Linked DNA regions of Oryza sativa Japonica Group. The protein of the gene in region 1 binds, or shares a complex with, the protein of each later gene. Links are inferred from orthologs where the notes say so. Each region holds a gene or a part of one and is shown on either strand. Other genes may lie near its edges. The genes, in order: cBL-interacting protein kinase 23 and calcineurin B-like protein 1.

Evidence for each region.
Region 2: cBL-interacting protein kinase 23 (region 1) and calcineurin B-like protein 1 share a complex: the UniProt entries of both Arabidopsis thaliana proteins name them as parts of the K(+)-channel calcium-sensing kinase/phosphatase complex. The link is inferred for Oryza sativa Japonica Group from reciprocal best matches to the Arabidopsis thaliana genes CIPK23 and CBL9.

Annotation. Positions count from the first base shown.
Region 1 is NC_089041.1:2,656,588-2,660,843, forward strand, and holds the start of cBL-interacting protein kinase 23, read right to left. Parts: upstream 2,977-4,256; 5' UTR 2,698-2,976; coding exon 2,527-2,697; intron 1,999-2,526; coding exon 1,936-1,998; intron 1,341-1,935; coding exon 1,269-1,340; intron 1,184-1,268; coding exon 1,076-1,183; intron 988-1,075; coding exon 907-987; intron 671-906; coding exon 617-670; intron 490-616; coding exon 364-489; intron 270-363; coding exon 180-269; intron 95-179; coding exon 1-94. UniProt on the Arabidopsis thaliana protein: CIPK serine-threonine protein kinases interact with CBL proteins. Binding of a CBL protein to the regulatory NAF domain of CIPK protein leads to activation of the kinase in a calcium-dependent manner.
Region 2 is NC_089044.1:22,989,701-22,993,968, forward strand, and holds the start of calcineurin B-like protein 1, read left to right. Parts: upstream 1-1,316; 5' UTR 1,317-1,566; coding exon 1,567-1,645; intron 1,646-1,785; coding exon 1,786-1,868; intron 1,869-4,268. UniProt on the Arabidopsis thaliana protein: Acts as a calcium sensor involved in abscisic acid (ABA) signaling and stress-induced ABA biosynthesis pathways. Contributes to the regulation of early stress-related CBF/DREB transcription factors.

The DNA.
Region 1 (4,256 bases):
TATCATCCAGGTTAACATCTGCTGTCTCAAACCTTGGAGGCTGATATCCCTTCTTGAACCACTCATTGTTGATAAGCTCTGCGATGGTAATCCTCTGCACAAGGAGATAACGATGGGATAAGCTACTTATGTATAAGAATGCTCCAAAGAAATGAAGGTTAAAATGCTGCAAAACATACGGTGCTAGGATTAGGATCTAGTATTTTCTTGATGAGCTTCTTCGCACTTGTAGAGAACCAAGACGGGCAACTGAAGTCTGCTTTGAAGATCTGGATGAGCAATAATCACATTAATCTTCCAAACAAAAACTTTGTTTAGGGTTCATAAACCAACAATCCTTTGACATGGTTAAGAGGGACCAACCTTCTTGTAAAGTGACATGAGGTTTGAGTCTTCAAATGGAAGGTAGCCTGCCATGAGGACAAAGAGAATCACTCCACATGACCACAGATCAGCCTTGGCTCCATCATATCCTTTGTTGTTGATAACCTGCACAGACAATATTATTGAAACATGAGAACAAATATTTTTTTAGATAAGTAACATGAAAACAAATATTCAATCCAACGATGATAATAACTATATACTAGTTTAATGTATGAGTGTAAGAAGGTACCTCGGGAGCAACATAATTAGGAGTTCCACAGGTAGTGTGCAACAGACCATCCTCCTGCAGAGTAAACAGAAAGATATGCAGCACTAATGTAAGAACTTTATTCAGATGGATCTGAAACTATCTGTATTACCATGTGAAAAGATGTAGAAAACAAATGGAATCTACAGAAAGCAATTGAAATGCTAATTTTTTTACGACTAACAACTCTCGGCTTTTCATCACTTTGAATAAAAGGAAACTCTCCACAAAAAGATAATAAAAGAATAAATAGGAAGAGTCAAATTACTTACTCTGACTTGTTGAGACAGTGCACTCAGCCCAAAATCTGATACTTTGAGAGTGCCACTAGCATCAAGCAGAAGATTTTCGGGCTGAAATTGAATTTGTGTATCAATTCACTGCTTCTCGGCTCTCTTGCATAGCAGTAGTAAACACCGCAAACAGTTAAACGCCGCTAACCTTGAGATCCCGGTGATAGACTCCTCTGCTATGACAGTAATCGACAGCGTTGATCAGCTGCTGAAAATACTTCCTTGCATCATCCTCTTTCAGCCTCCCACGCGAAGCCTATAACAGGAATTATGACAAATTGAACATGTGTGCATAGCATAAAGAGTAATTCAGATGTCGATAGAAAAGGCCAAGCACTCACAATCTTGTCGAAAAGTTCACCACCGGTGACAAGCTCCATCACTATGTATATTTTGGTCTTGCTGGCCATCACCTTCAGAGAAGAAAACAAAACCACTAAGTGGAGATCGACATAAAGCCAAGACAACAAAAGGAAAATATCAGAAAGCAAGAGCTAGGAAAGTTTCAGATAACACATAGTTTAGTGTCACAGGAATTTCCTTCCAGAACGATCTCTAATTGCAACTTTTCATGTGAAGGAACAACTTGTTCATTATGTCATCCTTGACCAATTTAATTTACCCTGGTTTTTCATAATTTCAGATTGCTCAAAGCCTTGAGAACCATATCTTAACTTAATTAGCAGGGTTCACAATCTCGGCCTAGAAAAAAAAAATCTGGGGGGGACCAAAATTTTTCAGAAGTTTCAAACCAGAAAAAAAATGAATTTTGAACAGGCTCTAGCTGAATTCGAACAAATTTTACAAAATTAAAAAAAAAATCCACAATTCAAGACTGGGAATCACATCCAACCAGGACCCACTGGTAGACCCGAAATTTCGAAAATTTCGAACCAAAATCACGAGCTCTGCTTATGATTAGTCGATTTCATTGGTGGACTTATCATCAGTTACAAAATTTTTCCATGGGCAAGATGAGCTGAGATTAATGATTGGAGATTAGTAAACCTCATGCATCCGGATGACGTTGGGGTGCCTGATGAGCTTCATGGTGGAGATCTCGCGCTTTATCTGCAAACACCACCACACAAACCACAAACACACATCAAAGTCAGAACTCCCCCACAAAAAGTCAGAAGCTAAGCCAAAGTTGATGCACATTAATAATAACTAACTCAGCACAAGTTCCAACGAACACTGCACGAGGCGCCCGTGCTAACCTCACGTCAAAGTCTAGGCTGTTGCAATTTTGGAAGTAAGAACGCAATTTTGGAACGATACCAAACCTTTTTTTTTTTGCAGCAAGAACGCTAGTAGTAATTAGTAATGTTTACTGTTTCTGGTTAAAACAAAATCATCACGTCTTGTCGTGAGAGGAAACAAAACAGCAGTAGTACAAACTGTTCATGATTTGGGACTCGTACGTATAGGAATTGAAATTGTCCACGAAATTCACTCAAGAACAGCGTATGATATGATTAAAAAAAAACAAGAAGGCGAGAAATTCGAACAGTACTATCATCATGGGAAGAAATCCATGGAGACCTCTCCAAATCGAGAATCGATTGGGGGGATAGAAAATAGTATGGGTGAGCTGACCTGGGCGATCATCTTGTGCTTGAGGACCTTGTCCTTGTCGAGGATCTTGATGGCGACATTCTCGCCGGAGTCCGCGTTGCGGGCGAACTTGACCTTGGCGAAGGTGCCCTCGCCGAGCGTCCTCCCGAGCTCGTACCTCCCCACCCGCGTCCTCCCGCCCGACACGCTCATCCTCCTCCTCCTCTGCTTCTTCCTCTTCCCCTGTCCCTCTCAGATCGACGACGCCGGCGAGTGGGCGAGCGGCGGCGGGCGACTAGGACCGCTTCTTGTCGCAGGGCCTCCACTGGACGAACAGCTCCGCCTCCTGCTCGCCGGCCTGCCGCTGCCGCATCGATCCTCCTCTCTTGGGACTCTCTTCTCCTCACAACCTCGCGGTCACGGCCGCAGGCATGGGATGGGACGAGCGCGGTGGTCGTCAATGGCGGCGGGTGAGGCGGGAGGTTGCAACTTACAAGGAGGTGGGTGGGGGGTGGGTATGTATAGGCGATGGCGCGGTGGGCGGCGGCGAAGGAGGAGGAAGAAGAAGAAGGCGTTTTCGTCGACGCTTCTCCCTTCTTCTCAGCTAAGGAAATATTTTACTACTCCTAGGCCATACTATTATCGTGATTACTAGCGGTAATTACTAGTAATTTAGTGCTCTCTACGTCTAGAAGATTTCATTTAATTTTGAGCGACCTAGAAGAAAAAAAATAGAATGGGAATAATAACCATGTTGGTTCATATATTAGGTTACTTTTAATGGGTGTTTCATTGTCATTGGGAAGGCTGTCACATCAGCATTTGTAATAACGTGGTAAAACTAAGGATTGTACAAGTTTTTCTGAGAAACACAGTCCTACCTCCGTCCAAAAAGAGTGTAGTTCTACTGTTTATATATAATATTTGATCTTCTGTCTTATTTAAAACAAATATAATTGTTATTATTATTATTATTAGATGATAAAATATGAATAGTATATTATTTGTGACTTTTTTAAAATTATTTCATAAGTTTTTAAATAAGACGGACAGTCAAACGTTGAACACGAAAACTCATGACTACACTTAAATTGGAATGAAGATAGTACATACATAGATGCCCATAATTGTACATTTTTAGATTGACGAAGTCACCACGAACGTCTAGCGAAAGAATAATTAGTCATAAATACGAGCGCTCGTGTTAAATCTAGAATTTGGACTTGGGTATGGGCTATTTCCATCACAAGTAATCTAACCTATCGAGCTATATAAGTTATTTTCAGTCATCAATTAAATATTTTGTTGCTTATATGATATCCTTGGAAACATAAAAATAATACCTCATGGTAATGACACTCTTATTACTCCCTCCATTCCAAATTGATCTATATATATATATTTTAAGATTATTCCTAAATGATCTACATATTTGTGTTCATTTATTAAGTCTATTCGTTATTTGTGCATTGGAGTAAATGGACATTGATGCATGCATCCATGCACACAAGTATCTATAACCCACATGCAATATCTTGATTTGCTATTGGATAGGAAATAGTGGGGATGGTGCATGCATTGAGTTTGTTGCTAGAGTAAATGTAGTATGAGAGAGTTATTAGCTTTTCTTGGTCTTAGTGTACCTATGAAATATGTAGATCAATTTGGAATGGAGGGAGTATTTTTCTACTACACTTTAATGCATATGTCTTATACTAATATGATATTACCTTTACAATTAAAGTTTTAGTGGGATAGATTTTAAACGATAG
Region 2 (4,268 bases), on another chromosome or scaffold:
CGAGACCGAAGCCGACCACCCAACCAACCCAATCAGAGGCGAGCTAACCTCCAACCAAACCAGACCAAATCCGAAGAAGGGAGGCGGCGAGGTGGAGGGATATGAAATTCTCTTCGTCGCCGTCACCGGAAAGCGACGAGGGTCTCTTGGTCGGACTTGAAGCCGAAGCGAAGCAGCGACGGCGACGGCGAGGTGCGCGACACGTGGCCCCCACGAGTGCCGTCGCTTGTCACGTGGGCCCCACGCGTCAGCTCAGCTAATCGGCGGGCGGGGTAGGAGTGGGGCCCGTGGATTAGGTGGCGTGTCCTGTGAATACGACGTGGCCGTTTCGTCGCTCCGGGTTGCCACGTGGCTCCATGTACGTATTATATGGAGGCCCACGCTCAGAAGAGGGCGGTGTCCAGAAACATGGAGCTGGGCTTTTCTTTTCCAAAGATGCTGGGCCGGTTTTCTAAAGTGCAAACCATGGGCTGCACGATAAATTAATTGATTAATCAGTTTTAGCTAGTAATCGTTAGCAAAGACGTTGGTTAACTTGGTTTTCTTGCTAGTTTCGTAGGGATTTCAAATGGTTATGAGCAGTCGTTCAAAAAAAAAAGATGATTATGAGCCAAGCAAACCATGGGACTACTATCAATTCGAAGCATCCGCTCGAGAATCTTCCATCGAAGATTTGGAACAATGTTGAATTTCTTCGATGTGACATAAACAATCTGCCTGGTCGTGGTTCACTACTGTGGTAGTAGTACTATTAGATTACTCTAATTATTGCGCGTGGCTGAGGTAAACCATGACACATTAGTGCTGGAATTGTTGCATGTGACCGAGAGGTAAGATTAGCGCAAGTTGGCTTGCAATTTCTTTGCGAAATCGTATGATCTGCTAATATTCCGTGTGGCTCTGCCCCTTCTCGCTGATTGGAGTTGCGCTTAGCCGTCGTAATAGTCATTTTCTTTTTCTTGGTTTTTTTTTGTCTTTTCTTCTTTTTCTTGGCATAAGCCAGTCTGTCTGATTGCGTTATGTAAACAAATATTTTTTTTTAATATATTGACTTAATTGTTTTGCGCGTTCGGAAAAAAAAATCTGCGAATATTCCCAGCTGACCAAAATGGGAATGGACGACGACGACGAGGTCCTCCCTTCTTCGCTTCTTCCAATCCATGGGCCGCAAGTCCGCAAGGGCCGCGCGCACGTGGGCGCGGTGCGGGTCTTCTTTCCCAAAAGAAGTCGGGGGAAAGCGAGGCGCAACGGACTCGGGGCCCACCTATCGCGTAGGTAGTAGGACTAGGAGGAGGCATAGCCCGTCTCGTCTCGACACCCCTCCGACCCCGACGCGTCGCGCACCAAACCCCCCCGCCCCCAACCCCGACCTCCTCCCGTGCTCCGCGCTCCGATCCGCCGCCGCCGCCGCGCGCGCGCCGCCGGGGGAGTGCGCCGGCGTGTGGTGGTGGGTGTGTAAGGGTAGGTGGAGGGGTGGGTGATGCGAGATCGGCCGCGGCGGCGGTAGAGGGGGTGTGTGTGCTCGGCTACTCCGGTGGGTCGGGTCTGGGCGGGGTGCGCGTGGGGATGGGGTGCTTCCAGTCGACGGCGAGGCGTCCGCGCCCGGGGTACGAGGACCCCGTCGGCCTCGCCTCCGAGACCGCCTGTGAGTTGTTGTTGCTGTACTTGCCACTTGAGGAGTACTCTACAGTACTGTATTTCATTTCATTTCATCAAGTAGTTCATCTGATTTATGCAATCGATGGGCGTACTGGAAATTCTGAGTTAGTTGTTTTGGATGTGTAGTTAGCGTAAGTGAGGTGGAGGCTTTGTTCGAGCTGTTCAAGAGCATTAGTGGTTCTGTGATCGACGATGGGCTCATCAATAAGGTGAACATCTAACTGTTTCTTGGGGGTATCTCACCATATTGGCATCATGGCATGTGTGATTATGAGCATCCTGATACATTTACTAATCTGCTTTTATAGCTTGTTGTGGAATTACAAAATTAGACCTTGCCGCATTCGAATATATCTACTGTTCCGTCTTTCATCACCATATTGGCATCATGTCATGTGTGATTATGAGCATCCTGATACATTTACTATCTGCTTTTGTAGCTTGTTGTGGAATGACAAAATTAAACCTTGCCACATTTGAATATATCTCCATGTACTGTTCCGTCTTTCGCTGGATATGAGAGGAGGTGCTCTCATATCGGAATTTATTAAGAGGGGAGTGAGGCTCGAACCTGGGTCGGCTAGCCCACAACTTGTGGTGCTAGCCAGAAGACCCCCACGCCTTTCTCACTGTTCCGTCTTTCAGGTTTCAGCTGCACAAATTATGTGGTGGATGCCATTTTCTGTGAATCGTTTTGCTATGCTGGCAGTTCTATTCATTCATCTTTGAAGTGAGCATGAATCTTTGTTGTACACACCCCGATCCTTTATTCCTCTTGTACCGCTCATTGTATTATGTGTTTGCCTTCTAAATTGTTGAATTTTCTGTGTATCAAAATGTGATTTTTTTCCTCAAAGTTTAATAGGAAAAAACTTGTTCCTGATATAAACCATCTGGCTACTATCACAGTATAACAACACAATGATAGTTCAAAGTTTGAGTCACTTTCTTCCTGCCTTGTCAATATTGATTTGCCGTGCTATAAAGCTAGACATAATGCGTTTCTCTTGCATCTTCACTTTTGTTTTTTGCATCTTCTTGTTGCGTCTTGCGTGGCGAAGAAGTTCATTAACTGCTATCTGAGAAGCCATACAGGTTCATGCACATCTGCTAGTTCTCATGAACTATAATCTTGACGTCATCAGTAGCTAAATTCACGGTATGAAATTAGGGACTACCTATCTAACGTTCGACATAAAATCCCCCCAAAAATATGCCGTAACTACAACACAATAATAGTGTAATTGCTGTTAGAATTTCAATGGTTACTCTCATTGAGAAGAGGATGGCACTCGAGATGGGGCAATTTTCTGGTTTTCTTCATTCACTAAACACAAAAGCCATATCCTCCCAAAGAGGATTGGATACATATTTATAGCTGCTTGTAGCAGCCATGCAGCCATGCTAGTCTAAGAGGGTGCTGTCAGCATCCCAACAAACTGTCCTAGAGCAGAGCATCCCAACAAACTGTCCTAGAGCATCTCAACAAACTGCTGTCCTAACTGTCCTAGAGCATCCAAACTGAAAGTAGAGATGCTGTCCTAGAAAGCTGAAAAACAGGAAAAAAGGCACCACAAGACCAAGACCAACCAGCCAAGACTTATTCCTACATTCTCCCCCTAAGTCTTGTGCGCCGTCTTGTGGGAGAGTTGAGCCATCCCGATCCGGGAGCAAAGCTCAAGGAACTTGATCCTCCCAAGGGGTTTGGTGAGCAAATCCGCAAGCTGGTCCTTGGTGTTGATGTAGCTCGCCTTGATGCTCCCTTCCTCCAAGTAGCTTCGGATGAAATGGTACCTCACTCGGATGTGCTTGCTCCGTTCGTGAAAAACGGGGTTTTTTGCCAGGGCCAGAGCGGACTTGCTATCCACCCTGAGCTCCACCGCTCCAGTATCTCTGCCGAGGAGATCACTAAGCAGTCGAGCAAGCCAGAGCGCCTGGGTCGAAGCGGCGGATGCCGCCATGTACTCGGCCTCGCAGCTGGACAGGGCCACCACCTGCTGCTTGATTGACTGCCAGCTAACGAGGCACTCGCCGAGGAAGAAGAGAATCCCGCTCGTGCTCTTGCTGGTGTCGATGTCGCCGGCGTGGTCGCTGTCGCTGTACCCGACGAAGTGTGCCTTGCCAGGACACCTCGGGTAGTAGAGACCGTGGTCGAGAGTCCCCGCAACGTAGCGGATGATCCTCTTCACAGCCTGCTGGTGCTCCGTCGTCGGTCGCTGCATGAACCGACTGACGTAGCCGACGGAGAAGGCCAAGTCCGGCCGTGTGTGGGTGAGGTAGCGAAGGCTCCCCACAAGACGTCGGTACTGTGTAGCATCCACCTCCTCCGCTGTGCTGTCGCGGCTCAGCTTCAGTCTCTCCTCCATCGGAGTGAGAGCTGGGTTGCAATCGGTGAGCCCAGCCAGCTCAACGACGCGCTTGGCGTAGGCGGTCTGTCGAAGCGTGATCCCGGAGTTGTCCTGGTGCACTTCGATCCCCAGGTAGAAGGAGAGAGGCCCCAGATCACTCATCTGGAAGGTGGCCTTCATCTCCTCCTTGAACGCCGCGACCTCTGCATCCTTGGTGCCGGTGATCACTAAGTCGTCGACGTAGACACCCACCAGCAAGGC